Linked DNA regions of Rattus norvegicus. The protein of the gene in region 4 purifies or fractionates together with the protein of the main gene of each other region. This does not show direct contact. Links are inferred from orthologs where the notes say so. Each region holds a gene or a part of one and is shown on either strand. Other genes may lie near its edges. The genes, in order: Otud3, Usp10, Cenpc and Pten.

Region 1 (7,612 bases), on a different chromosome or scaffold from region 4:
CACAGACCTCACGAATCACTCCAGGCCTAAGGTCTAAAACTGCCATTACGATGTCACACCCACCAATACCTTTTGAACCAAGCCTCACTAAAACTTCCCAGCTAGACATCACTCACTGAGTCGCTAAGCGGCAAAAACAGCAGAAGCCTGCACCTGTCCAAGCTAAGAGCACAGTGGCAGGAGTCGAGGAAGAAGCACCTGAACAGGCCGGAAAAGACACAACCCCAAACTCGCTCACCTCGTCAGAAGGGAACAACAAGGCCACTGTTACACATCTAATCTGTTCTCTAAAATTAAACAGGGCTAGTGAGATGGCCCGTGGGAAAAGTGTTGGGTCCAAGACGCAAACCCAGGCAACCTGACCTGGCTCTCGCCATGGCTCTCCCAAACATTAACACCAAATGTTAGCTGGACTTAACCTGCGTACAAGTAACAGTTTTTATCTGCCAGCCTTTACTTGAGCCCACTAAAGACAAGTCAGACACAGTGCAATAACGTGTTTTCCTGATGGGATTATAAGGCAGCGACAGAGGAAACATAACAAACACTACAGCAACCTGGGTTCCCTTAGGAAGCCCTGGAAACACACTGCAGATGCCACCAAGCCTAGCGCCGTGGCCCTCGGGGCCTCCCGGAGATCCAGCTGGTCCCTGAGTTCATGATCTCGCCATCGCAGGGCAACCAGGCTGCTCGGTGCCCACACTATGGACGTCTGAGGTCAGTCTGTGTTGGGAGGAATATCTTGCTAACTGTTGATCCTTGGGAACATCCTTGGCCTGTGGGCACAGATGGCAGGACCACCTCCCTCCTCAGCAGCTGTGACAACCAACAGCGTCTCCAGGCAGTCCAGTTGTCTCCTGGGAGGCAAAACCGTCCCTGCCTGAGAACCACTGCACTTTAGGGATACAGAGATGTAAGGTCCTGCATTAGAAAAACAACCAATTACAGAACACTTCAAGGAGCATGCCTGTAGCAAGTCACCATCTTGAACACTTCAAGGAGCATGCCTATCGCAAGTCAACATTTTACACCTTTCAAAACAGAGACAGTAAAAATTGGTAACTATTTTTTTGTATTAGCAACAGCACTATATCTTAACCAACACTACTCAGCAAATAACACATGAAATAGTCTGCTAGTCTGGCAGTGCTGGCACACGCTTTTTCCCCAGCACTCGGGGGGCAGCGGCAGGTGATCTGAATCCGAGGCCACCTGGTCTACAGAGTGCACTCCAGGGTAGCCAGAGCCACGAAGAGAAACCCCATCTAGAAGAAAAGAAAGATCTGTGACCCTTCCAAACCACCACCTACACAGAAAACGCCATTCACTGCGACAACTGATGGAAATAACATACAAAACTAGACCAGCAAAGCCAGCCCCGGGATGTCACCCCAGCAAAGGTTTGTACCCAGCATGGAGCCACCTAACAATGCCAGACAACAGACTGGGAGGTGGGCTCTGCCCCTCACTTCCCTGTACTCCTACCCTGACTGAACTGTGTTCCCATTCTACTGCAGCACTCGGAGCTATCGGACACACGTGCTCCTGGCCTGCCACCCGGCACTCATCCCTCTTGTTCCTTTGAACTGTTCCAGCATGGCTTCCTGTGAGAGAAACCTTATACATAGAAGTCGCTGGCTCTGTTGGCTAAGGGAGGAAAGGTCTTCCTTGGCACCTCAAAGCATGTCAGCCACTTCTTCTCAATAACACGACCATGGTCCCTTACTAAGAACATAACAGCCTCCTTTTCCCCCATATCTGCTCCCCAATTATAGCCCAGAGGCTATTAAAGCCTTGAGACCATTTCAGGGTATCCGTAAGCTCAAAACAAAGGCCTCGCTCTAACTTCTTCATCCTTGCTCTCTCATAAGTATACTGTAGTTCTCAAGAGCCTGCCAGCTCACTGGGCAAGGTAGTGCAGTGGCCTTAAATCCCAGCACTCAGGAGACAGAGGCAGGTGGATTTCTCTAAGTTTGAATTGGTCTACAAGTGGTGAATTCCAGGACAGCCAGAGCTACATAAAGAAATCTTGCCTGACTTTAAAAAATTAAAAAAAAAAAAAGCTACTATCTCAAAGCATGATGACTAATGGGTTCACGTCTGTTCACTCCTGTGTCTTTAAATTATGAATATGGTTAATACTGAGCTATGGCTCATACAATGTGTGTATGCCTGCTTATTCCTCAGCAATTTTTCAGAATACAAAAGGGCCCCCAAACCAAAATATAATACTGTGAACCCTACAGTATTATACAGCTACAGTTTCTCATTGTCATCTTGTTCCCAGCACGCCCGTGCTAGCAATCTATGAGGATTAACTGAAGAAGTCTGCTCCCCGAGGGGAAGAAGGACAAAAGGAACACTCCCAAAGTTGCTCAGAACCTCACGTAAACCTCATGGAAGTCCAAGTCTGCTTTGTTGCTCTTGAGCAACTGTGGAGTTCCCATTTCCCCAGCCTATTTCTTTGACACCAAGAAACCATACTCAGTCTGACAGATACAACGTAACCATTTGCAAAGACGGTCACACCTGGGTCCACTGCATTCAACTTTGACGCTTTTGTTTTGTTTTTCAAGACAAGGTTTCTGTGTGTGACCACCCCAGCTCAAATTCAGAGATCTACTGCCTCTGCCTCCCCAGTGCAGGGAATAAAGACGTGCGCCACCTCGCCACCTCGCCCGGCTTCACTTGATGGTTTGATGTCTATAGCAGTTTGTGCTTCTACTGGAGCTAGGTGGCCTCCCCGGACAGTTTTTAATCCCTGAAAAACAAAAGCATCCTGAATGCCTTCTATGACCCAGGCACTGTTCCGGTTGGTAGCTGAATACAATTAAATTCTAATTGCAACTTAAGCAAAACACCTATCCAATTTGTCTGAAGCTCTGAAGGCAGGAGAGACAAATGGGATTAACTTATTGAATCTCGATCAATAAAAGTCAACGTAATATGAAATGAAGAAAACACTTTATGTAGGGGTCGGAGGCACACACCTTTAATCCCAGCAGACGCTATGAGTTTAAGGGCAACCTGGTCTACACGGGATTCCAGGCCAGCCAAGACTACATAGGGAGCCTCTTTCTCAAAGGGGAAAAAGAGGGGAAGAAGAGAAGAAAGAACAAGAGAGAAGAGCGAGAACACAGGAACAAAGGAACTTTCCCCAATTTCTAACTAAGGCTGTCGAGCTTTCTTTGGTTTTGTTCTGTTTTTTGAAACCCTGTCGCATCAACTCTTCCACAGCTCAACCTGACCGTTCATCGCGAACACAGTAACAGTGCCTCTTGCAACAACACACTTAGCAGCCAGTTCCTCTCCACGGTTTCCTGTCTACACCACGCTCCTGGACACACGTCCGCGTTCCATTAAGTTGCTTTCCCTCACCTTCCTCCGTTCCCAGTTTCCAGCTGCCACTCTTCTATCGTGTTTCCCGAAACAGCTGGCCGGGGACTCTCATTCCTTTTACTTGGGGAACCCAAAGCATGGACAGCAAACACTGGGGAAGCTACCTTCAGCTCTCCGCCCTCGTTACCCCTGTGCTGAAGGGGGCGATGACACCCAGGAAGGCCAGCATGACACCGAGTGGGACCGAGGTCCCTTCCCATTCGGCTTCATGACAGCTGCACCTCGAGGTCACCTCTCAGACCGGCTCGGACATTCGGGGGACCCTGCTGCAGCCTTCCACCAAGCCTGGCCCCTGCTTCCCTCTCGGAGACCGGCCCTGCGCATCCCCAGCGCCGCTTCCCGCACTCCCGGCCCGCCTCACCCGTCCCCCGGCACCTCCCGCAGCTTCAGTCCCAGGGCCTGCAGTTGGTTGGCGAAGCTCACAAACTCTTCTTCGCAGCCGCTGCTGCCAGGCTCCGGCCGGTTCCGCCGCTCCTTGGCCAGCGCCCGGCGCGCTGCCCGCTCGTCCCGCTTGCGCTCCGCCTCGGCTCTGCGGCCGCCGCTGCCCGGCCGGCTCTTCGCCGCTTGCTTTCGGGACATGGCTGCGGCACACGGCTCGCCGCGGAAGGAGCCGGAGCCGCAGAGCGCGGGGCCGCAGCCTCAGCCGGCCACCCGGCGGAGCGGCGTAAGGAGACGGCACCTGGCGACAGCGGCGCGGCCACTGCGCCGGCGCGGTCGCCTGGCACCCAGGTCACGTGGCGATAGCTCCGCCCCCGGGGGGGCCGGACCAGCAGGCACCATAGAGAAAGATACGAGGGCTAGAGAAGCAACTGTCTTGGTTGGGTCTCTTCTGCCACCTCGTGGTGGGTAGTGCTCAGTGAGGCGCCGTAGGACCAGACAGGGAAGGTCAAGGATGGCTGAGGATGTCAGAAGAGAGGCAAGAACAAATGCAAAAATTCAAAAAAGATGGAAATCAAGACGGGTGATGAGGAAATATGCTTGTTTAGAATGCACAAATCCGAGTTCAAATACAAGCGCGCGCGTGCGTGCGCAGACCCTTTAAAAACTGAGCCAGGGAGATAACTCAGTCCATATAAGTGCGTGCTCCACATGCCAAGTTCGACCGGAGTTCGGATCCCCACCACTCAGTTTAAGAAGGGTGGGCATGTCAGCGAGCCCCTGTGATCCCATCACTGAGGAATCAGAGACAGTCGACCGCACTCGCTGGCCAGCCAGTTTAGCCAATCAGTGAGCTACAAGTTGGCTTACACTTCCAGATCACAATCATTGGAGGCAGTCAGGACAGGAGCTCAAGCAAGGGCTGGAACCTGGAGGCAGGAGCTGATACAGAGGACATTGAAGGTGCTGCTTACTGGCTTACTTCCCCTGGCTTGCTCACTGTTGTGTTTTATAAAACAGCGCTATAATGCGGCCGAAGGGAACACCTCAGTGGGCCCAAGCCGAGGTGTTCCTCTGAGGAATCACTACCATGCCACAGGCCTAGAACAAAAGGAAGTTCATTGAGGGAAGAGAAGGGAACCTGGGAAAGGGGTAGAGACAGAGAAAGGAGGGGGACAGAGAAGGACAGAAAGGGAAGAGAGAGAGGGGAAGCGAGGTAGAGACCGGTCAGGGACATGAGAGAAAGAGAATGTGGTAACTGGTGGTCTTCGAACTTAGCTGGTGGAGATGCAAAACTGTTGCTAGGTAGTGTTGGGCGGAGCCCAGAGGAACTGCTAACACTCAACCTGCTTTCTTATAGAATCCGGGACTACCCTCCGAGGGATGGCGCCACCCACAATGGGCTGGACCCTCCCCATTGATCACTAATTGAGAAAAGCCCTACAACCTCATGGAGGGATTTCCTCAACTGAGGAAGCCAAATAAACCTTTTCCTCCCCAACTTGCTTTTTGGTCATGATGTTTCCTCACAGCAATAAAACCCTAAGACACCCTGTCACAAGAAATAAGATGGACCACGAACTCATTCTGCCTATGGTTACCCACATAAAATATCAAGTCAACAAGGTCAGTCACCATCTCAACGGGAAGCACTAATTTAATGGATTATTTAAAAAAAAGAGAGAGAGAGAGAGAGAGAGAGGAGGGGACATGAAGGGGGGATGCCATAGAGAACACCGGGAGAGTGGGAGAGAGGAGCTGAGAATGTATAAAATCAAATGCATTTTTTACATGTATGAAATTGTCAAAGGTGAGGTACAGGGCTGGAGAGAGGGCTCAGTGGTTAAAGGCCCTTGTGATTCTTTTTTTTTTTTTTTTTTTTTTTTTCGGAACTGGGGACCGAACCCAGGGCCTTGCACTTGCTAGGCAAGCGCTCTACCACTGAGCTAAATCCCCAATCCCGGCCCTTGTGATTCTTACATAGCGTATCTGGATTCAGTTCCCAGAATGTAAGGGTGCTTCACAGCCATCTGTAACTCCAGTTTTAGGGGAGTTGGTGCTCTCCTTTGACCTGCACAGCCTCTGCATGCACACACACACACACACACACACACACACACACACACACACACAAGCAGAGAGAGACACACACACACGGTGAGCCCTCCTTGAGAGAGATGCTTCTGTGTGTCTCTGTTTTTTGTTTGTTTGGTTGGTTGGTTTTTGGTTTTTTGTTTGGTTTTTATATAGGAACTTCGACTCCAAAAGTTAAGTAACTATAAGGGCCACACAATTGAGAAGCAAAGCTTCACTCTGACTCTAGAGCCCAGATGTTCTGTTACTCCTGTCCTTCCCCTGTAAGCCAAAAGAGAGAGAGAGAGCAAAAAAGAGCCCTTCTGTCCAATAATCGGGGATCTCATTCCAGGATGACCTGGACTGGTAGACCTGGACTGAAGCTATTCCTGGGATACACAATTTTCTGTTTCAAACTGAGAGTGTGAGAAAAACCTGGACAGTTGTTTACCGTAAGCCATGCGTGCTCATTAGGGTGTTAAGGGACCGGTAATTATGTCTCTCTCATTCTGGCTCCCTTTGTCTGAAGCACTCTCCTTCCGCAGTAATGTCACTGCCTTCCCTTTTTGGACCTTCTATCCAACTGTGGTCTTTTATTACCTATCCTGGGAACACTAGGCAAGCATGGGAACTCCTGCTTAGAACCCCAGCACTGGGGGAGGCTAAGGCAGGAGAGTCTGTGGTGTTGAGCCCAACCTGGGCTACAGAGTGTTACTGGGCTAGACTAAGCTAGATTAAGACCCTGTGTCATAAAATCAATACTAAGTAATGATTCCAATGAAGACCAAGTTGGAGCACCAACAAAATTTATTGGGGTGATTTATAGGAGTATAAATGAGGAATTACTTACAGAAGCAGGGATGTCCCAAAGGCCACATCACCAAAAGCCTGCCCCAGCCTAGATGCTTCAACTCAGAAAAGGTGCATCCCCAGATCTCTCTGGGTAGCTTGCGGGCAGTTAACCAGGTCAGAGAGTCTCCTCCACCTGCTTCCATAAACTGGTCTTTAGGAACTTCCTGAGACTCCTAAGTTGTCCACTTCCTGAGTCTCATGAGGCTCCATTTGGAAAGAATGTTTCAGTTGAGAGGAGATAGAAAGAGAGAGACATGGTCCTTGACTACAGAGAGCCAAAAATCCGAAGGTTTTATTATAAACAAGGATGCAGTAGTGACAAGACAAATGCTACTAGGAAGATGTGTGTGATATCAGGGGGCGAAAGAAGTGCAAAGATCCAAAACGACTTCTCAGAAGAGAAAATTCTCAGTAGGAGCTTCGAGGATAAGTGTAGGTGGCCCAGAGCGGACACTCAGGAATGTCCAGCACCACACCTGGGCTTTAAGGAGCTGAAGGCACGTGAGGCTTGAGCCTTAAGGTGGGAGATGGAAGGAAGGTCATGCTGAGCCTTCAAAGGCTCGTGCGTCAGAAGCTTGCTGTCCAGTTTGGCAGTGCTGAAGTAGTGAGACCTTTAAGAAGGGGGGGGGGGGTTGGGGATTTAGCTCAGTGGTAGAGCACTTGCCTAGGAAGTGCAAGGCCCTGGGTTCGGTCCCCAGCTCCGAGAAAAAGAACCAAAAAAAAAAAAAAAGAAGAAGAAGTGGGGTCGGGGACTGGAGAGCTGGTTCAGTGGATAAGAATTGCTACTCTTTGAGAAGACAGTTCGGTTCCCAACACCCACGTGAGCGTCTCCTAACCTGTAATCCCAGCTCCAGAAGAACTGGCACCTTCATATGGCCTCCACAGGTATTGCACTCATGTACATGTGCAC
Region 2 (7,066 bases), on a different chromosome or scaffold from region 4:
TCTCACTTTGCAGCCCTGACTGGGCTAGAACTAACTATGTAGCCCAGGCTGACCTGGAACTCACAGAGATTCCTCTGCCTCTGCTTCCCAAATGCTGAGAACAACTGTGCCTGGCCTTTTTTTTTTTTAAAACTAAAGTAATTTCTATGCTTAGGAATTCAGCTACAAAAATAAAGGACAGAACATTTTTGCATGCGCTGGTCTGGAACGTTCGTCAGAGGTGTAGGTTCTGGGGCTTCTACGGGCCTCACTCCAGCCATTTGGAATTAATGTGACCATGTCTGTCCTCAGGGCCGACAGGAGGACGCCGAGGAGTACCTAGGCTTCATCCTCAATGGACTCCACGAGGAGATGCTGAGCCTGAAGAAGCTTCTCTCACCCACGCACGAAAGTAGGTTCTTCTGTGTGAGACTGTTTGCCTGAGAGCGGCTTAAAGGTCGCGTGTCCATGCTACACGGGCGCGCGCACACACTCACACCCGTGCACAGGCATGCGCGCACACACACACACGCATACACCGATAGCACTTAGCTACGTAGATAAGCAGCTACTTCCCGTTACCCAGCACAGTAGTGAGAAAGAGGCTCGGATTCCTGAGCTGTATCCCCTCGTGCAGCTTTGCTCCAGTTTTTACTTGAGAGAGAGGTTGAGGCCGTGGAAGGGTTTGCTCTGGCTTGGGTTCCGGAGGGGTAGCACCCCTTGCAGTGGATGGCATTGTGGCAAGCTAAATGACCACATTTCACCCACACACGGGGAGCAGAGGGGGGACAGAGAATAGAGCCAGGCCCTAAGCCCTCAGAACCAAGCCCCCTGTAATGTACTTCCCCAGCCTCTACTACTAAAGGCTCCATATCCTTCCTTCCTAGACAGTGCCACCAAGTGTTGAGCTCCAGAGCCCTTGGTCATTTCACATTCAAATGCCAGCGGCGACACAGGAAAACACAACACAGGGCTGGAGGCCCTGTGGGCACAGGCTCACTCCGGGGTACCCGCTTGTCTTAGGGGTGGGAAGTTGGAGGAAGCAGTTGAGATTTTGTCCTGTGCTGAGAGCGTCCTCTGAGGATGAAGCGTCTCACCCCGTGTCACTTTTACTACAGAGTGTCTTCAAATTTTTCCAGTTGTCCAAAGAATGTGAATGCCTCTGGTTTTTGAAACAAGGTCTTTCTCTGATGCTCTGGCTGGCCCAGAACTCTCTGTGCCCTGCCGCACTTGGCATTTCCAGAGCTTGGTGTCTGAGCATGGCTACCACACAGTGCTCACTGCAGCCCAGTGTCCAGAGTGGCTGGCTGCTTTAATTGCTTACCGTGACTTTAAGTGTAGAGCATAACTAGATCTTTTTATGTGTGTGGTTTTCTAGACAGGGTTTCTCTCTAGCCCTGGTTGTCCTGGAACTCACTCTGTAGACCAGGCTGGCCTTGAACTCACAGATCTGCCAGCCTCTGCCTCCCAAGTGCTAGGATTAAAGGTATGGGCCACCACTGCTTGACAACCTGTTTTGGTTTTGGGGTGTTTGTTTGCTTTTTGCATTTTTGTTGTTGTTATTTTGGTTCTTTTAGAGTGTGTGTGTGTGTGTGTGTGTGTGTGTGTGTGTACACGTATGTGTGTACACGTATGTATGTATACGTACGTATACTGGAGAGGGTGACAAGGTCAGGACAGTTTGTAGGAGGAGTCAGTTCTCTTCTTCATGTGGTCCCAGGAATCAAACTCACCTGTCAGGTCTGGAGAGCATGGCTTCGCCGGCTGAGCCTCTCAGCGGATCCTCATGAATCTGTTTAGCCAGTTCTCACAGAATTGCACTTGCTTGGATATTTTGTTTCTGAGGAAAGCTGACTCAGCAGATCCTCTTCTTTTCAGAGCACTCTGTTTCTAATGGGCCCGGAAGCCACTTGATAGAGGATGAGGAGCTGGAAGACACAGGCGAGGGCAGTGAGGACGAGTGGGAGCAAGTGGGTCCCAAGAACAAGACGTCTGTCACCCGGCAGGCGGATTTCGTTCAGACGCCTATCACTGGCATTTTCGGTGGACACATCAGGTTTGTGCTTTTCCATGTTCTCAAGGTGTGTGTGTGTGTGTGTGTGTGTGTGTGTGTGTGTGTGTGTGTGTGTGTGAGAGAGAGAGAGAGAGTGTGAGTGTCTGTATCCTTCCTCCTGCCATCTGCTTTGCCTGGCTTTCATTCGCTCTTCCTCAGGCCTGGCTCTCAGGGGCTGTGTGCCTCAGTGCCCCCAAGGGTGCTGGCCCATCACTTGAAGTCAGGAAGCCAAACTGACTTGATTGTTCTGGTAACAGAGACTCCTGTCCGACTGGAGGCATTGTATCACTGTACTTTTTATTAAGTGCATGTGTTAAAGTCTATAGAAGGATGTTATGCACACAGGTAGTGGAGTGTTGGCCATGGAAAACTGGTCAGCACAGAAACCCCGCTTCCATGGTGCCCCTCTCCCTGTCAGATGAAAGCAGCCGTGCTCTGCCCCTCCCCCCACCTCCGTATACCCGCGTACCCCGAGGGCTGATGCTTTGTGCCCTGTGTCCTGGACCTCCTGTTTTCTTCCCCCACATCACTGTGGTGACTTTGCTTTTAAATCTATAGCAGCGTGAGCACACATGGCTGTCCTGTGTCCAGCTCTGTTCATTTAGTATGATGTCTTCCAAGTCCATCCCTGTTCTGACGAATGTTAGGATCTCCTCTTCCAAGACTGAGTAATATTCCGTTACATATTCCCACCTAAGTGGCTTTATCCATGTGCTTTTTGATGGACACATAGACTGTTTATCTAGGAAATAACTGAATGGGTGAGACGGAATAGAGGCCAGAGCCTCATGAGCTAGAATGTGACAGGATCGGAGGGAGACACTGGCCCAGGAGGACATGTGACCTGGGGTCCTTCAGACAGCTTTCTGCTCGTTCATGACATCCTTCTGAAAGACTTTAGAGTTACTTCAGAAGCCCCGAGTTATCGTCTAAAGATGAGTCAGTGGGCTTCAATGGGTGCGATCTCCTGGATGCTGTATTGGAAACCAGTCTCTTCTCAGGCATCCAGTGCCAAATGAGTGAGTCCACTCAGTAGCAGACTGAGCTCCTTTCAGCAGAGTCTGCACTCCCTGCCTCAGAAGCTTCTCTTTGCTTCTGTGGCCCCCATGGGGAGGGCTGAGGACCCAGCTGAGCCACGCTGACATGGCACAGGCCCCCTTTTCCTCTGGTGTTCTTCATGGGGCTAATGGATCTGGTATGGTCTAGGAATCCCTGCCTACACGTCGCCACTGTGACTCATCTTGGCAGACACAGCCCCCCTGAGTCGAGCCACGGTGGAGGAATAAATAGGCAGGTCGGTGAGCAACAGAGGAACGAAGCTACCCTCTGCTGCTCTTGCCATCCAGCCCCGAGTTAGGAGTCAGGGCAGTGAGGGACAGCAGACTACAGGCTGCCACAGCACACTGCACTAAGGGGCAACATGGGCTGTTTCCCTAAGGGTGACAGCAGAGAAGAAGCCAGGCTGCCCTTCTCACCTCAGCCTCTGTGCTGGCCCTGGCTTCAGTAGCTTCCGTGAGGTTTTTCTGGTCAACTTCATGGTTTTTTCAAAGAACAAAAGCAGAGATAAGAAATTATTATTTTCATTTTATTCAGGGTCTCATGTATGCCAGACTGTCCTTACACTCAACGGTAGGTGTGGCCACAGCCAAGGATGATTTTGAGAATTTTAGTCATCCTTGCTCTCCCACCTCCCAAGTGCTGGGATTACAGGGGCATGCAGCCTACCCTAGCTTATGAGGTGCTGAGGTTAGAACCCAGCATCATGGGCACCAGCAAGCACGGTCCATCCCAGCAGCACCCTGGGCCTAGGCAAGGAGTTCTTTCCAGTTTTGTTTTGTTTATCTAAGGCAAGGTCTCTACTGCCCGTGTTGGCCTAAACTCATGGCAGTCCTCCTGCTTCAGCCTTCTGAGCACCCAGCTAATGAGGACTTCGGATGACCTGATGACTTGAACTGCATTTCAGACAGAATTAGAGTCTTCATTCTGACCAGGGACGGCCCCAAGTCACTGTCTTTCTGCAGTTTTTAGTTTCCCTAGAGAGACCCTTTTTTGGGGGGAGGGGGTGGTCCTTTTCTGATGAATGAAAGGTTTTGGAGTCAAGAGGGTCTTGATTTCTGCACTTACTTTTTTTTTTTTTTTTTTTTAAGATGGTTCCTCTGTGTAGCTCTGGTTGTCCTGGAACTCACTCTGTAGACAAGGCTGACCTTGAACTCAGAGATCTGTCCGCCTCTACTGCCCCAGGGCTGGGATCGGAGGAGTGCGCCACCCCACCCTGCTTTAATTTCATTGATGCTGTTCAACTTCCTTTTGGGAACCCTAGGAGTGTCAGTCATTGCCTGGCACTCTGGAGGAAGGCTGGGGCATTGGACTCTGAAAGGGTCTCGGCTGGGTGCCTATCTGTCCCTTTAAGTTGGAGTTTCCTCCCACAGCTCTGCTTTGCTCATAAACTAGGACTCAGGCTGCTTTGTTGAGTCTCAGAACGTTCCCTGGATGAGGTTAAGTGAGAGATGAGACATACTTATGGTTTTTATTCAGAACTGAGGAAAAGAAAGATGAATTAAAAAAAGTAAGAAAACAAGGTTGAGTGCCTTAGCTGCGAGGCTGCTCACCTCTCTTCCCGGATCGCTAACGTGGTTTTTATCCTTAGCTTGTTACCCTTCCTCCTCCTGATGTTTTTATAGCAGGAGAGCAGCCTTAAAAGTCCTGCTCCCCTGGGGATCCCCCCACGTCCCCATTTCACTAGAACAGGCTGTGACACTTAGTTAAACACTCCCCATCCCACTCTGCTTGAGTTTGTTAGCTGGTGCGTGCTGTGCTCTGCTGTGCAAGTGAAGAGTTTGGAAGTCGAAGCCCCTCAGCCAAGCCGGGAGAATGTGCAGATCAATTGCTAATCACAGGGTCTGGTAGTCAGCGGAGTTATTTTTAAATTCAGGGTGGTTTTGGCTGTTCTGTTGTCCCTGGTCCTGTGATACTGAGTAAACGTACTTGAGTATTGATTCCTTCTCTGTCAGTTAATCTTAAGGGAAAATGACAGACAGTGGCCTCTTACTCTTCTGTGTTTTCCGTTGCATTTTTAGGTCTGTGGTTTACCAGCAGAGTTCCAAAGAATCTGCCACGCTGCAGCCATTTTTCACACTGCAGTTGGACATCCAGTCCGACAAGATTCGCACAGTCCAGGATGCCTTGGAAAGCTTGGTGGCAAGAGAGTCTGTCCAGGGCTACACCACCAAGACCAAGCAGGAGGTATGCTCCCGCACAGCTGACCAGGAGCCTTCTAGATGCTTGGACGCTGACTTGAGTCCGCCTCTCACGCAGTTGCTTTACTGAGAAGCCCCGGGTTGTCAGGAAGGAGCGGTTGAACCATATGGCCCCCCAGCTGCTCTGCAGCTCTGGCTCTCGTGACTGAGGGAATTATCTCCCTTCTGCCCTTGACCCTGCTCCGTGTCTCCTTTCCTCAGTCCACCTGGTGTCTGCAGCCAGCCTACCTCCAGCAGAAGAGTTAGGATGTGAAGGGAGTTCCAGGCACGTCTGTGTTGCAAAAGCATTGATCATTAGGGACAGTCAGGCGACTATTCAGTGTGATGACGAGGATAAAGTCTTGAGTGTCCCGTCCTGGACAGTTAGGAGCTGGCCTTGTTGTTGTGGAGAGGCTGTTGTCTGGCTCTCAGTGGCCTGCTCTTCTGCTCTGCGGGGAGGCCGTCTTGTCTCTCAGGTCTTTTGCAGACTGGCATTGAGGTCACAAGGCAGGATGAATGCTGGGTAGTTAGGGTGGCGCTTTTCTGAAGAGTTCGTGGTACTGGAAAGCTGTGAACAGTGGAGTGCAGAGGCTACAGGGTCAAGTAAGGAGTGAGCAACTGAAGATACATTTGGTGGAGAAAACCAAAAGAAACCCTAACACCAGGCGTAGCCGGGAACAGTTGCAGGTGGGCAGAGAGACTCATCCTGCAGCAGGGCCGTCCGCAATCTTCCGACTTACACTGCATTAAGTTTCATTGTTGGTGCTGCTTTAGGATGTTTTAAAAGATTCAGGAGCCTTGAAAGCACTAAAGGGACGCAGGCTGGTCATGCCAGCTCCAGCCGTTCTGCACTCAGCTTGTCTTTCCGGCCATTGTGTCGCCACATAGCCAAAGACTTCGCTTGGAGGCCACAGATGGGCTCCTTACAGGGGTCCATGGGGGTACAGGCATGGCTGGGGAGCTGTTGGGAGTTGCTGTGGAAGCCCACAGGGGGGCTGCTGCAGCCAGGCGGGCCTGTGACCCAGGCTACTTTGTCCCAGGTTGAAGTCAGCCGTAGAGTGACTCTGGAGAAGCTTCCCCCTGTCCTTGTGCTCCACCTGAAGCGCTTCGTCTATGAGAAGACGGGCGGATGCCAGAAGCTCGTCAAGAACATCGAGTACCCTGTGGACTTGGAGATCAGCAGAGGTAATGCCGGCCTGTGCCTGCTGCAGTCCCCACAGCCTGTCACCGCCTGGTCACCAGTTAGGACTCTTTGTTTTAGCTTTATTGACATTTGTGGGTCTCTATACTGAATGCTCGCCAAGGTGGCTTCCTTAGTTTTAACTTTGACTTAGGGATGGTTTGCCGGTATGGAGTGTGCACTGTGTGCTTGGCGGACTACAGAGGCCCAAAGGGGCGTTGGCCTTACAGGTGGCTGCCAGCTACTGTGTTGGTGCTGGGCTCAAACCCAAGTTCTCTGAAAGAGTAGCCAGTGCTCCTAACCACTGAGCCATTATATTTTGTTTTTGTTTTAAGGCAGGGTCTCGGTATGAAGTGCTGGCTGGCCTGGAGCTCTCTATATAGACCAGGCTGGCCATGCACTCTTATTACAGCGATTTGCCTGGTGCAAATACAGGAAGGAGATGTAATGTGACTGGATCAGAAAAGCAGGAGAGCAGCCGGGGCTGGCTGGGGATGCCCTCCCCCACAGCGACATGGTGCCTGTGCAGAAATGTGCTGGCTACTGCTTTCTGTGGCTTCTGTGTCGTGTCAGAGGGAGACCACATACCTGCCTGGTGCCTGCAGGGGCAGCCAGTGC
Region 3 (7,066 bases), on a different chromosome or scaffold from region 4:
TTGTTTTCTACACAAAATTCAACTGATCTTTAAATTAGACACCCATGAAAGTAAGTGGGTAGCAAAAGGTATTCCAAGCAAATGCAACCAGGAATCAACAGAGTGTGTTAGTGACCTCATATATGACCAAACAGACTCCAGACTAAAATAATCAGAAGAATAAAAGAAGAGCACGTTATTCTAATCAAAGGAAGAATTAATCAAGAAGACATCTCTATCTTAAATATATGTGCACAAAACTCTGATGCACACAATTTCATAGAATGTGAACTTCTGGAATAAAAGAAACTAGTTAACATCTATCCATGATTTCAATATCCTACATTTTGTAATGGACAGGTCATTTGAACAAAAAGTAAACAGAAATATCAGAATTAACTGATCACAGACTTAACAGGTATCTACAGATTATTCTATCTAAACACAAAAGAATATGCATTCTACGTCGAATTTTCTCTAACAGAGATATCCTGGGACACAAACACACATACACACATACACACACACACACACACACACACACACACACACACACACACACACACAAACTCTTAACAGATTCCAAAAGATAGAAATAACTCTCTACAGCCTGTATGACCATGATGCAACAATAAAACTTAAAACAAACAGCAAACAAACTTCCAATAAACTAATGAAGAACAAAGACCTCATAACTGAATGATTGATGGGTCAAAGAAGAAATAAAAAAAAAAAAAAAAAACTTCTTGGAAGTAAATGAAAAGGAAACCATAACACAGCAAAACTGCTGGCTCACATTCACAGCAGTTCTGTGAAGGAAATGCCTTACATTATGAAATAAAAAAGCCTTCAAATATAACTTAAAGATGCAACTCAAAAAGTTAGAGGAACAAGAACAAGCCAAACCCAAACCCAGTCTATGGCCAGAAACAATAGAAATCAGAGCAGGAGTTAATGAAATACAAGCAAAGAAAACAAAACAAAGAATTAACAAATCCAGGAGCTGGGTCTCGGAGGGGAAAAACAAGATTGGCAGACCCCTGACCCAACTAGCCAAAAGAAAGGACCCAAACTAACAGAACCAGAATAGACAAGAAAACATAACAGAACCCAAAGAATGAAGAATACTATAAGCATATAATTTTAAAAGAACACTCCATTAAGCTGAAACATCTAAAAGAAATGACAAAACTAGCTTTATCCAAGGTGTATAACAAGGATTCTCTAGACTATGAGGGAAGCCACAAGCGCTGTTGCAGCGAACATCACCTCTCCTAATGTTCATCAGACCACTATCAAAAGAATACAGATGATCATAGTACTATCACACTAACCACTTTCAAATCCACGATTCTGTGTCCTCCACTCCCCCAAATATCTGCTCCTCCTCTCACAAGCCTCTGTCAGGTAAGAACAATACTATTGTCTCAGAAGCTTAGACCAACATCCTTAATGTCTTCCTAACACTTTTATTTCTTATAACCACCAATCTTATAACAAGCAATCAGTGACTCCTCTTGATCTGCCTTCCAAAATTTACTATCAATAGAACAAACACAAACACAGTCCAGCCAGCACCCACATTATAGGTCACGACCCCATCTGTTAACTCCAATTCCAGGGAATCCAATGCCCGTTTCTGACATCAAAAGTCACCAGTAACACATGTGGTGCAGACATCCAGGCAGGCAAAACACTCATTAACATAAAATAAATCCAAAATATTTAATACTTTAAAAATATGTTTTTAAAAGGACACATTACAAAATACTATGTAGGAAAAACTATTAAAAATTTTACTCAGGCAAATTCACTATTTCTTTACCAAATAAAAGGCAAAGAATATAGAAAGTATTAAAGTTTAAAAAGAAATACATAAATGTAAAAATGTAAAAAAAAAAGAATTAGTGAATTAGTAATAAAAAGATAGTATAACATTATATTCAAGCACCAAAAAACAAAAAACGTGTAAAACTGTATTGATTCACGAAAAGTCAAAATTATTTAAAATAGAGGAAAACTATATAATGAACCCAATTTATTGATCGCCTATCTCCATTAACAATCAACATGCAATTACTACTGCTTTAAGTACTTCCATATCAGCTTAACAAATTTGTCTATCTGTCCATCTATCCACCCATCCTGTTTCAGGAACTATTAGACACACATGCCAAGGAATGTCTGTGAAGAGCAGAGGACAATTTGTGGATCAATTCTCTCCATTTACTATGTGGATTCTAGGGAATTCAACTCAGGTCGTCAGGCTTGGTAGCAGATGCCTTTACCCATCTAGACCATTTCAACAAATCTCCAACTATAAAGTTGGAAGTAGGAAGTTAGGAGTAGATCCACATTTGCTACTACTGAAAATTTAAATAAGCACAGAATACTTTATACTCATAGTTCCTTAGAAACCAAGATAGTAGAAAATAATAACTTACCCAAACTCTTCTGGTCCTTTTCGTCACCCACTTCAGAATTACTGCGTCCAGGCATTTCAAGATTCTTGAACCTGGAAGGTCCACTTAAGAACAAAACAAATCTGTGCTTTATAATATGCATTTCTGTGTGTCTAAATGTCATGATCATGTTAAAACTACCATGTTTCTTTCTTAAGAAATTAAAAGTGATGCAGTAGATCATCAAGAATGAATTTCTGTGCAGTATAAAGCAAGGACTATGATTTGATCCCATAATTGAGTCAAATCTATCTAAATGAGATAAAGAGAGAGGGGTGGGGGGGCAAACAGACAGCTACTACAGGTTTAATTTCATTTTTTTGTAGACTGTCTCTTTAAAATTAGGATATGCTTGCTGGTTTCTCTTCTATTTGTAAAGGAATGTTGCTATTGGACTTGATTAAACTTATAACAAATCCATGAATTTAAAAGGTTCTAGCTAAGCTTGGTAGTATATGCCTACAATCCTAGCATTCGAAGGCAGGAAGATGGAAAATTCAAGGTCAGTTTAGGGTCCATAAGGAGGCCCAGGGCCCAAGCTACTTAACCTGTTCTCCTCTACGTAAGAATCATAGTCCCTCACACAGTAACGAACCTTCGTCTTCCCTTCAATGGCTGAGCAGTTGCTCTCACTTACTAGTCTGCCATTTCTAAAGTTTTTAACAGTTCATAGATAATACAAGTGGATTAATCTCACTTCTTCAGTGTTAGTAGATGTCTTAACAATAAATCCACAAATTCCTTGGCAATCTTCTTTTCAAAAGATAGAACCTCATTTCCCTTTTCTTGAATGTGGTCTGGACTTGTGATGACCTTAAGTCGTTAAAAGGCACTGATTTCCCTTATGGATACTTTCTTCCCTCAGACCATTTGCTTTGTAGGAAGTCAACTGCCACAAAACAGGAAACGAAGGTTGACTACCAAAAGACATCAAAGGACTGCAACCTACAGCCAACAGCCATGGGAAACATAAATGGATCCTCCAGTTGTAGTCAAGTCTTCAAAGGGATACAAAAGAGAAACACACCTCCAACCCTAACCCAGCTACCTAAGTCTTGCCCAAATTTCTGGCTCACACAGCTATAAAGTAATGCATGTTTGCAAGACAGCACCAAGAGTCACATGATATGTGGGAGTAACCTGGTACACTGAAGGGTAACTAGTGTACTGAGTGGCTTCTATTATCACTGCACTGTATACACACCTTTCTTCCCACACTGAAGGGGTAATAGTGACTGAGTGATTTCTTTATCACTGCACTGTATACACACCTTTCTTCCCACACTGAATGTTTACACACTTCCGAATTTGAAGTAGATTCCATTTGTGTCTTGCTTCTATGTTGCTCACTACGAGTCTTTAAATGAACATTCTGTGATATCATATCACTGTTTTGATCTTCAGAGCCTCTGGTAGGTCTATGAAAAAAAGTTTAAAATTATACTTTTCAAATTTATTTTCAAACATTCTCTCTTCTAGAAACAATATACAAATGATGATACAAGCAATATAAAATTGGCTATAGAAAGTATAGTTCATCATGTTCAGTTGTAAACTTAAGATTTAGAATCAGATTCAAGAAGGTATCTAGAGTTTACAAAGACTCCAAATTAAAAAACAAACAATCAAACAAACAAAAAACCAGACAGACAGACAGACAGAGAGAGAGGGAGAGAGAGAAAATACAAACCTGGGCTGAGACTAATAAGAAATGTGACACCAAGTGGCATTAATCTATGATATATACTATACAACTCAATACCTATCACTTCCAGTTCCCAAATGAGGAGCCAAGTTCAGGGTAGTAATGTATCTAAATGTCATCTAACTAACTGCAGAGCATAAATTTAAGAACAACTTTGTCAAAGTCCTTTATGCTTGCTCTTAGTGAATAATGCATAACAAAGCCAAACCACAAATTCTGTGTAAGAAAAAGAAAAGACAGCTATACTGTAAATAGAAGAAAAATTACCCAGAACAATGAAGGCTCTTCTGAGTTGGATCTGCGTCAATGTTTTGCAACGGCTTCCTCTGGGAAGTAGAAATATCATCATTTCCTCCAGAACCCTTTACATTTAAAGACTTCAGTTCTCTTGAGCTGATCTCTTTCTTCTTTCTTTTCGATGGAACAGGTTTCTTCTCAGTATTCTCAGATACGTGATTTCTCTTAGTCTGTTTTTTTCTATTTGGATATAAAATTGATGATTCATTCTCCTTTGAAGAATTTCCATCAACAGAACCTAAAAGATTCAACGACAATTTGAAATTACAATGTTTGTTCAAATGATCTGGCTCACTGAAATACCAGTGTCATTACATTTACATATAAATACACATACCAATTTTGTAAGTTAAATTTGTCTGCGCCCAGAGCTGAACCGGTCCCACAGCTCTCTCTACCCAAATCCCGTGGGGGAAAGAGCTGGACTCTCAGAAGTGCAGACAATCCTGAGAGCTCAGGGGAGACCACCACTTCTGCTGACATTCCTGGCCCAAGAGAAACTTGCCTACTGCCCTCAGGGACAGGACCCTTTCGGTTTCTGCCTGTGCCCAGAGCTGAAAGTTAGTCAACAGGGGCACTGACACACACGAGAGCAGAGGTAAAAATCAACTCTTCTGCTCTGACTGACCCTCCTGGAGACTTCAGGACACACAAACCCATTAGCAGTCTGGAACAGGACCCTTTCCAGTTTCTGCCTGTGCCTGGAGCTGTCCCACAGTATCTATACCCAGATCCGGCTGAAAGAAAACAGGTCTACAGGAGTGCTGACACACAGGCTTACAGGAGGGTCAAGCAACTGTCAGAGACAGCAAAACAAGCAAACACCAGAGACAACCTGATGGCGAGAGGCAAGTGCAGGAACCTAAGCAACAGAAATCAAGACTACTTGGCATCATAAGAGCCCAGTTCTCCCACCAAAGCAAATGCTGGATATCCAAATACACAAGAAAAGCAGGATTTGGATTTAAAGTCACATCTCATGATCATGACAGAGAAGGACATAAATAACTCCGTTAAAGAAATACAGGACAACACAGGTAAACAAGTAGAAGCCCTTAAAGAGTAAACACAAAAATTCCTGAAAGAATTACAGGAAAACATAAACAAACGGGAAAGAATTGAACAAAACCATCCAGGATTTAAAAACTGAAATAGAAACAATAAAGAAAATCACAAAGGGAGACAACCCTAGAGATAGAAAACCTAGTAAAGAGATCAGGAGTCATAGACACAAGCATCACCAACTGAATACAAGAGATAGAATAGAGGCAGAAGATACCATAGAAAACATTGACTAAACTGTCAAAGAAAATGTAAAATGCAAAAAGCTCCTAATCCAAAACATCCAGGAAATCCAGGACACAATGAGATAATCAAACTTACGGATAATAGGTATGGAAGAGAGTGAAGACTCCCAACTTAAAGGACCAGTAAATATCTTCAACAAAATCATAGAAGAAAACTTCCCTAACCTATAGAAAGAGATGCCCATGAACATACAAGAAGCCTGCAGAACTCCAAATAGATTGGACCAGAAAAGAAACTCCTCCCGTCACATATCAGTCAAAACACTAAACGCACAAAATAAAGAAAGAATATTAAAAGCAGTAAGGGAAAAAGGTCAAGTAACATATAAAGGCAGACCTATCAGAATCACACCAGACTTCTCACCAGAGACTATGAAAGTTAGAAGATCCTGGACAGATGTCATACAGACCCTAAGAGAACACAAATGCCAGCCCAGGCTACTATATCCAGCAAAACTCTCAATAAACATAAATGGAGAAACCAAACATTCCATGATGAAACCAAATTTACACAATATCTTTCTACAAATCCAACCCTACAAAGGATAATAGATGAAAACTTAAACACAAGAAGGGAAACTACACCCTACAAAAAGCAAGAAAGTAATCTCCTTACAACGAGCCCAAAAGAAGAGAGTCACACAAACATAATTCCACCTCTAACAACAAAAATAACAGGAAACAACAATCCCTATTCCATATCTCTTAACATCAATGAACTCAATTTCCCAATAAAAAGACAAAGACCTCAGAGACAAAGACAGACACTACATCAGAGTGAAAGGCTGGAAAACAACTTTCCAAGCAAATGGTCAGAAGAAGCAAGCTGGAGTAGCCATTCTAATATCGAATAAAATCGACTTTCAACCAAAAGTTATCAGAAAAGATAAGGAAGGACACTCCATATTCATCAAAGGAAAAATCCACCAAGATGAACTCTCAATGCTAAATATCTATGCTCCAAATACAAGGGCACCTACATACATAAAAGAAACCTTACTAAAGCTCAAAACACACATTGCACCTCACACAATAATAGTAGGAGATTTCAACACCCCACTCTCATCAATGGACAGATCATAGAAACAGAAATTAAACAGAGACATATAGAAACTAACAGCACTTATGAACCAAATGGATTTAACAGATATTTATAAACCATTTCATCCTAAAACAAAAGGATATACCTTCTTCTCAGCACCTCATGATACTTTCTCCAAAATTGACCATATAATCAGTCATAAAACAGGCCTCAACAGATACAGGAACATAGAAATAGTCCGATGCATTCCATCAGATCACAACGGACTAAGGCT
Region 4 (7,066 bases):
ATTTCCTGTGAAGAATTAAAAAATATTTAATGAGAAAAAGAAACTGGCAGCCAGCACACGAAGCATCCACAGTAGGTATATGATTGAAAATTAATAAAAATAAATGTAAGTTGTTGACTGATGTAGGGACTAATAGCATCTGACTCTTAGCACTGGCCTTGATTACATAGGAGATGGAGCAGTCATTACAACTGAGAAAGCTTACTGAGTAAATCATTGTCAAATCTTCTGTTTCCAGCCCGTTCTTCGTTGAAAGCCTCGACATTTGTATGGTTAAGTGACTGTTGCTGTGTCTCTTATCTATGACCACTTTATTTTTATATCCCTTCATTTGTGGATTCTTAAGATGCTGTAGATGGTTCATTCCTGTACCCCAATACAAATGTACTCACTCTAGCTGCCTTTTCTAGCACCAATATGCTCTTTAAAACGCACAGACAGACAGCAGGACAGTGGCCATCTCCCGGATGTGCAGATTAGTAAGTGGAACATGCTAAAGAAAGGAGCACTAAAGAGCCGGAGATGTGTGGTCCAGAGCCAGCTAGAACGCTCCTTTCTGAGCACTCCCTTTATTCCCAACCCAAGTACATGCATTAGAATGTAGCAAAACCCTGCAGAAACCTCTCTTAGCCAACTGCAAACTTATCTGTTGCCACAAATGCAAAGGGGTAGGACGTGAACCTGGGAATCAGAGCTTTTCAGCCACTTCAGCTGGTGACAGAAAATAAAGGAAAAACTCCTACGTATACACATCGGTCTGTCTCCACGTTTTATAAAACTGGAATAAAATGGGAAAGTGCCATCTTTTATTTATCCTAATTGAATTTTAAATGTCCTTTTGACACAAAAAGGTATATACATGACACAGCTACACAACCTTTTTTAACTGGACAACAAGTGTCAAAACCCTGTGGATGTATAGGGTGAAACAAGATTGGTCAGGAGAAGAGAATTGTTCCTATAACTGCAATCTGACACAATGTCCTATTGCCATTAAAAAAAAAAAAAAAAAGGTCCATTTCAGTTTATTCAAGTTTTTTTTCTTGGTATTTTATCCCTCTTGATAAGAAAAAAAAAATCAGACTTTTGTAATTTGTGAATGCTGATCTTCATCAAAAGGTTCATTCTCTGGATCAGAGTCAGTGGTGTCAGAATATCTATAATGATCAGGTTCATTGTCACTAACGTCTGGAGTCACAGAAGTTGAACTGCTAGCCTCTGGATTTGATGGTTCCTCTACTGTTTTTGTAAAGTATAATTTCACCTAGAGAAAGACAGTTTAAGAGGAAAGTGAACAATTAGAATGGCATCCTGCTTTGCAGATTTACTTAAAGTACTATAACAAAATGAATTCTGAAGGGCACTGCTTTTCAATTGACCTTAAAACTGCCTACTGTGCACTCAAAAGACACACTGATGAGTTGAGAGCTATTTTTAAACCACATCAGCTATAAGCACTGTATAATTCTATAAAAGTGCAAACTGAAGGCAATGGACTCACTAAACACAAAATTCAATTTACAAGTGCTTACGTTTCAAAAGCATTTCTCTTACAATCTCTGAAACAACTCCATGTTTACACTAGTGACACACACAATACTGATTAATAATCATGTATACAAGATCAACTAGCTCTAAAATCTTCCTCTAGAGAGAATGGAGGAAGCTAACAGACCACTTAGTGGTCCGCAGATGGACCAGTGGCCTTTCCATGCTGCAGTCACTGTTAGTCACTCCTTAAGTACTTCCATTTTAAAAGAAACAACAAAAACCCAGAAGTCCAGGCAACATGCTAAAGGACAATCTCTGGTGAACAGTTGACAGGAGATCTACACTTTCTTTTCCATTATTCAGGTCATTTTCAGTTGTTCTCATAACTGACCCTTGCTTTAAGAATCCCCGTCCAAGTGAGTTACTCATTCAGCACTGCTCCTGCCATTGCGTGAGCCCGCCTTCTATGTGCACTACCCATCAGGCTCACATTGTCTCTCCCTGCCACTTCGAGCCCGCTGCCTCTCCCTAGTTCTCGGTCCAGGCTCGACTCAGGAAGTGAGGTGGACGGTTAAAGCCAACTCCGACCACATCTTCTCTGTGCTCGGCACCCCACACCTTCACACCAAGACCGGGTCCCTGCGACTCAGTAGAAATGACTTCTGAATGCCACAGAGAGGTACCAAGTTCACGCATGCCTCAATTCTCTTATCTACTCTTCCTCTGTTGTCCAAATAGCTGCTCTGCAAGCTGTGCACAGCTCACAGGTGTAAGTGTGCTCACTTCACTCTGTGCTCGCCCTCTCTACACACCCACCACCCACCTGACCAGACCGCCTTTGCCGGCTGCCGGCTTCACAGCACTTACCTTGATCTATCTGTTTGTTCAGTGACAATGAAAACAGTCTTTATCTACAGTAACTTTTCTACACTGTACTGTTTTATTGATTGTTTTGTAGTACTTGGTGTTGAACTCAGCATCACTCATGTTAGGCAAGCACTGACGTACATTGCCGGAGAAACATTAAAACAGTAATGTTTACTAGAGAGGAATACATTTTAAAAGCAAATAGTTGCCAGATGAGGCTGAGGCAGAGACATGGCAGTTCAAGCCCAGCCTGTGCCCATTATACCAAGACCCTACCTAAAAAAATCAGAAAGCGGATGGCTGATAGGAATATCAATTTGTGGAAAAGGAAAAAATGAAAAATGAGGATTCTAAAGGCAACTTAAAAACATACTCGAGATCCAAAGGCATTGAAATATTAATTAGGTCTAAGTTCACTTAACATGTGAATGTCATTCTCTATTTTTATTAGCATTGTTATTATGTTATAATAATATAATCTATAGTTGAGTTTGTTACATGTGAATAAAAGAAATACAACAGAATGAAAAAAGAATTTAGGGCTGGGGATTTAGCTCAGTGGTAGAGCGCTTACCTAGGAAGCCCAAGGCCCTGGGTTCGGTCCCCAGCTCCGAAAAAAAAGAACCCAAAAAAAAAAAAAAAAAAAAAAAAAAAAAAGGGAAAAAAAAAAAGAAAGAAAAAAGAATTTAAAGGGGAAGACTCAAGGTGGTGAGGGAGAGAAGAAATAGCGAGAGAATAAGTGGACTCATGAGCAGAAAGGAAAGGCTGCATAACCTCTCGGGAGTACACACTAAACAACACTACAACAACCCTAGGTCTTCACCTTCAGTCAGAAGAAAACACACCCTCCCACCCCAGAATGCTTTTAACTGACCTTAAAATTTGGAGAGAAGTATCGGTTGGCCTTGTCTTTGTTTGCTTTGTCAAGATCATTTTTTGTCAGGGTGAGCACAAGATACTCCTTGTCATTATCCGCACGCTCTATACTACAAATGCTATCGATTTCCTGATCACAAAGACTTCCATTTTCCACTTTTTCTGAGGTTTCCTCTGGTCCTGGTATGAAGAACGTATTTACCCAAAAGTGAAACATTTTGTCCTACAAAGAAAAGAAAGAAATGAAAGATGTATTTCACTTATTTAAAAATGTACCACAAATAGTCAACATATAAACCATATTCTAAAATGAAGGCAAACACCTTGTGGAATATTCTTATTCACTAAGTTATGTTATGAATAAAAAATAATCATGTAAACTCTGTTATCTTACTTTTATCTCTTTTATCTTTTCTTTTATTAGATATTTTCTTTATTTACATTTCAAATGTTATCCCCTTTCCTGGTTTCCCCTCAAGAAACCCCCTTTCCCATTCCCTCTCCCCCTGCTCCTAAGAGGGTGCTCTCCCACCCACCCACTCCTTCCTACCTCCCTGCTCTGGCATTCCCCTACACTGGGGCATCGAGCCTTCACAAGACCAAGGGCCTCCACTCCCACTGATGCCCAACAAGGCCATCCTCTGCTACATATGCAGCTGGAGACATGGGTCTGTCTATCTTTGGTTGGCGGTTTAGTCCCTGGGATCTCTGTGCGGGTCTGGATGGTTGATATTTTGTTCTTCCTATGGGGTTGCAACCCCTTCAGCTCCTTCATATCTCTAACTGCTCCATTGGGGAACCCTGCTTAGTCCAATGGTTGGCTGCAAGCATCCAGCTCTGTATTTGTCAGGCTCTGCCAGAGCCTCTCAGGAGACAGCTATATCAGGCCCCTGTCAGCATGCACTTCTTGGCACCTGCAATAGTGACTGGATTTGGTGACTGTATATGGGATGGATCCCAAATCCTAAGAAAACTATTTCCTATTCTAATACGGAATTTTAAAAATGTTCTGAGTTTATATGTATATAGATATAAACAAAGATCAGGTGTCATTACAACCAAAGCCCTAGAAACTAACAACCGAAGCCCTAGAAACTTTAGACTAAGTTCCCTATGACAACTTTAGTTTTGCCCAGATATGCCCAGTGCCCGTGGAAGCCAGAGAGGGATTCAGATCCCCCAAGACTGGTGTTACAGATAACTGTAAGGCAACATATAGGTGCTGAGAATCAAACCTGGGTCCTCTAGAAACCCCTATCCCATCCCCTCTCCCCCTGCTAGGAACCAGGGCTCCTAACTGCTGAGACGTGTATTCAGCCTTTTTAAAACCTTATTGATCTCAATTATTTTAATGTTGTTCAGTTGGCAATTGTATTTTACTTAGAGGAAAACAAGATAATATTATTTAAACTTACAAAATGTGGCTCACTGATGTGCACTGATTTTCTAAAACTGTTTTTATTTAAATCAGAACAGGCATGTAATTAGTAAGGAAAAGCTATAATAAATGGAAATTTATGGAATGTAATCTAAGATATATAAATATATTATAAGTATCCAATCTTCAGAGATCAGGAGTAAGAAACAGCACATCTCTAAAACTACAAGGAGACACTGAGGTAATTATCTATTTTTACAAACAATATAAAGCCAAGAGAGGTGCTTCATGCCTATGATCACAGCACTTGGGAAGTTAAGGTGAAAAGACTGCTTTACCCGGGCCACTTAGTGAGTTCTAGACCAGCTTGGGCTACAAAGTAAGAGTCTGTCTCCAAACAAACACTGACAAAAGATGACAAGGACGGAAAAGGCGTATCCACTGCTCGCGTGCGCGCACATACACAACTGTATGTGAGCCAGGGTCTGATAAGAAGTCGGAGATATCGGGCAGTGACAGCATACACCTTCAATTCCAGAACTCAGGATATAGAGGCAGGTAATCTCTGAGCTGGAGACCAGCCTTGTCTACAAAGCAAGTCCAAGACAGCTAGCACTACACAGAGAACCCAGTCTCAAACAAACAAACAAACTAGGAGAGAGAAAAAAACCAAATACTTAATTTTTGAAATAGTTGCTCTTCCTCTGTTACCAGCTAAGCCTTCTACACCTTAAGGCTCATTTTCATGTTCACACTCAACTAAGGATACTAACCAAGGACAAATGTTCACACCAAGGGCGCTACAGCCGAGCTTTTGCCTTTTCTCAAGTCTGTCTCAGGCCTCAGCAATCCTAAACATGGATGTTTAACCTATCAGCCTCCCCCGCTTTGTTTTAATTATTTCTTCTTCATAGCTATTTCTTTCAACTAAGTAATACTGTCTAAACTTACTCAGTAAATATGGGGAAACAAAATATAAAATAGTCTATAGTCTCAAGAAACATAAACCTAATCGGGTGAAACATGGCTTGTGTCGCATAAGATCACAGAACAAAGCAGAGAGCTGACCCCGAGGTTGGGGTAGGCGGCTCTGCTTACAGTCTCGGCTCGGCCACAATAGCAGAGTGTGCATGGTTAGCAAAGCAGGAATCAGCGCAGCGGATGGCAGAGAAAGGCTCTCCTTACAAACTAATCTCCTAACCAAAGGCACTAAGCAAAAGGGCTGTGGTTACTCATGAAGGAATGGCTATTTCTACACAGAGGAACTGAAGTACAGACCTTTTTGAGCATCTTGTTCTGTTTGTGGAAGAACTCTACTTTGATGTCACCACACACAGGCAATGGCTGAGGGAACTCAAAGTACATGAGCTTGTCCTCCCGCCGCGTGGGTCCTGAGTTGGAGGAGTAGATCTTCACCTTTAGCTGGCAGACCACAAACTGGGGATCTACATGGGTACATACAGACGGTCACTCCACAAGAAATGTCTTCAACACACAAATTATCACAAACTGTTTTAATGATAAAGTATCAGAAATATACACAAAATTCTTCACACTGACTGCTTATCTAAAACAAATCAGTAGAAATAAAATAAGTAAAATAAAATCCAAGTAAGGACCTCTTCAACTTGAACCCTTAATAAAGTTCTATTACACATATGAAAATCAATTGCTACTTCATAAACAGTAATTCCAAGACTACACTCTAGCAACATATTAATATCAAAGCTTTACATTAACATAACGCAAAAGACTCATCACAACTTACTTTAGGCATAAAATAAACAATTTCCTGGGACTTTTGTGAACTGCATAAAGATGAAAAATATTAATAAGCTCTATAAGCCTAAGCCTTTATACTATAGAAATATAAAATACTGACCATCACTCTTTTCACCTCCAGTCTACAAGTTTCTGTGTGTTTGGTTGGTTTGGTTTTGGTTTTTTAAGACAGGGTTTTTCTGCTTAGCCCTGGCTGTCCTGGAACTAGTCAGGCTGGCCTCCAACTCATGGAGATCTCCCTGCCTCTGCCTCACAAGTGCCGGCACTTTTAAAAGCACGTGCCACTGCCACCTAGCCCCACATAGTTTTTAACATTATTTTTTTAATTCCTTGAGAATTTCAGATTAAGCATTCAGTGAATTTTGATCCAATTCACTTCCTACTTCTCCCTCTAACTCTTCCTGGATACACCCCCCCCCCTCAGTTTCCCCCTCAACTTCATGGCCTCTGTGGTTTTGCTTTTTGAGAAACCCGCTGAGCCTAATGTGTGCCGCCCATATGCACATGGGTGTAAGAGCCCACATTTACAAAGTCACAATCATGAGAAATAGAACGAAATACCGGAGATGTCTACAGGAAATGCAGCAGGCACCAAGGGAAAACTACAACAGAAACTTTTTTCTCTCTTAAACACTGCTCTCATCAACAATTATTTGGTTGCAATCTAGGTCT

What was found.
Region 1: the proteins of Pten (region 4) and Otud3 purify together in Homo sapiens (affinity purification with western blotting; 3 studies listed by BioGRID and IntAct, with this or other methods). This does not show direct contact. The link is inferred for Rattus norvegicus from reciprocal best matches to the Homo sapiens genes PTEN and OTUD3.
Region 2: the proteins of Pten (region 4) and Usp10 purify together in Homo sapiens (affinity purification with western blotting; 4 studies listed by BioGRID, with this or other methods). This does not show direct contact. The link is inferred for Rattus norvegicus from reciprocal best matches to the Homo sapiens genes PTEN and USP10.
Region 3: the proteins of Pten (region 4) and Cenpc purify together in Homo sapiens (affinity purification with western blotting; 3 studies listed by BioGRID, with this or other methods). This does not show direct contact. The link is inferred for Rattus norvegicus from reciprocal best matches to the Homo sapiens genes PTEN and CENPC.

What each region holds. Positions count from the first base shown.
Region 1 is NC_086023.1:156,441,364-156,448,975, forward strand, and holds the start of Otud3 (OTU domain-containing protein 3), read right to left. Parts: upstream 3,979-7,612; coding exon 3,761-3,978; intron 1-3,760.
Region 2 is NC_086037.1:64,914,485-64,921,550, forward strand, and holds part of Usp10 (ubiquitin carboxyl-terminal hydrolase 10), read left to right. Parts: intron 1-291; coding exon 292-391; intron 392-1,857; coding exon 1,858-2,035; intron 2,036-5,109; coding exon 5,110-5,275; intron 5,276-6,308; coding exon 6,309-6,453; intron 6,454-7,066. UniProt on the Homo sapiens protein: Hydrolase that can remove conjugated ubiquitin from target proteins such as p53/TP53, RPS2/us5, RPS3/us3, RPS10/eS10, BECN1, SNX3 and CFTR.
Region 3 is NC_086032.1:22,375,432-22,382,497, reverse strand, and holds part of Cenpc (centromere protein C), read right to left. Parts: intron 4,682-7,066; coding exon 4,414-4,681; intron 3,860-4,413; coding exon 3,713-3,859; intron 2,507-3,712; coding exon 2,424-2,506; intron 1-2,423. UniProt on the Homo sapiens protein: Component of the CENPA-NAC (nucleosome-associated) complex, a complex that plays a central role in assembly of kinetochore proteins, mitotic progression and chromosome segregation.
Region 4 is NC_086019.1:240,104,027-240,111,092, reverse strand, and holds the end of Pten (phosphatidylinositol 3,4,5-trisphosphate 3-phosphatase and dual-specificity protein phosphatase PTEN), read right to left. Parts: intron 6,058-7,066; coding exon 5,891-6,057; intron 3,458-5,890; coding exon 3,233-3,457; intron 1,265-3,232; coding exon 1,079-1,264; 3' UTR 763-1,078; downstream 1-762. UniProt on the Homo sapiens protein: Dual-specificity protein phosphatase, dephosphorylating tyrosine-, serine- and threonine-phosphorylated proteins.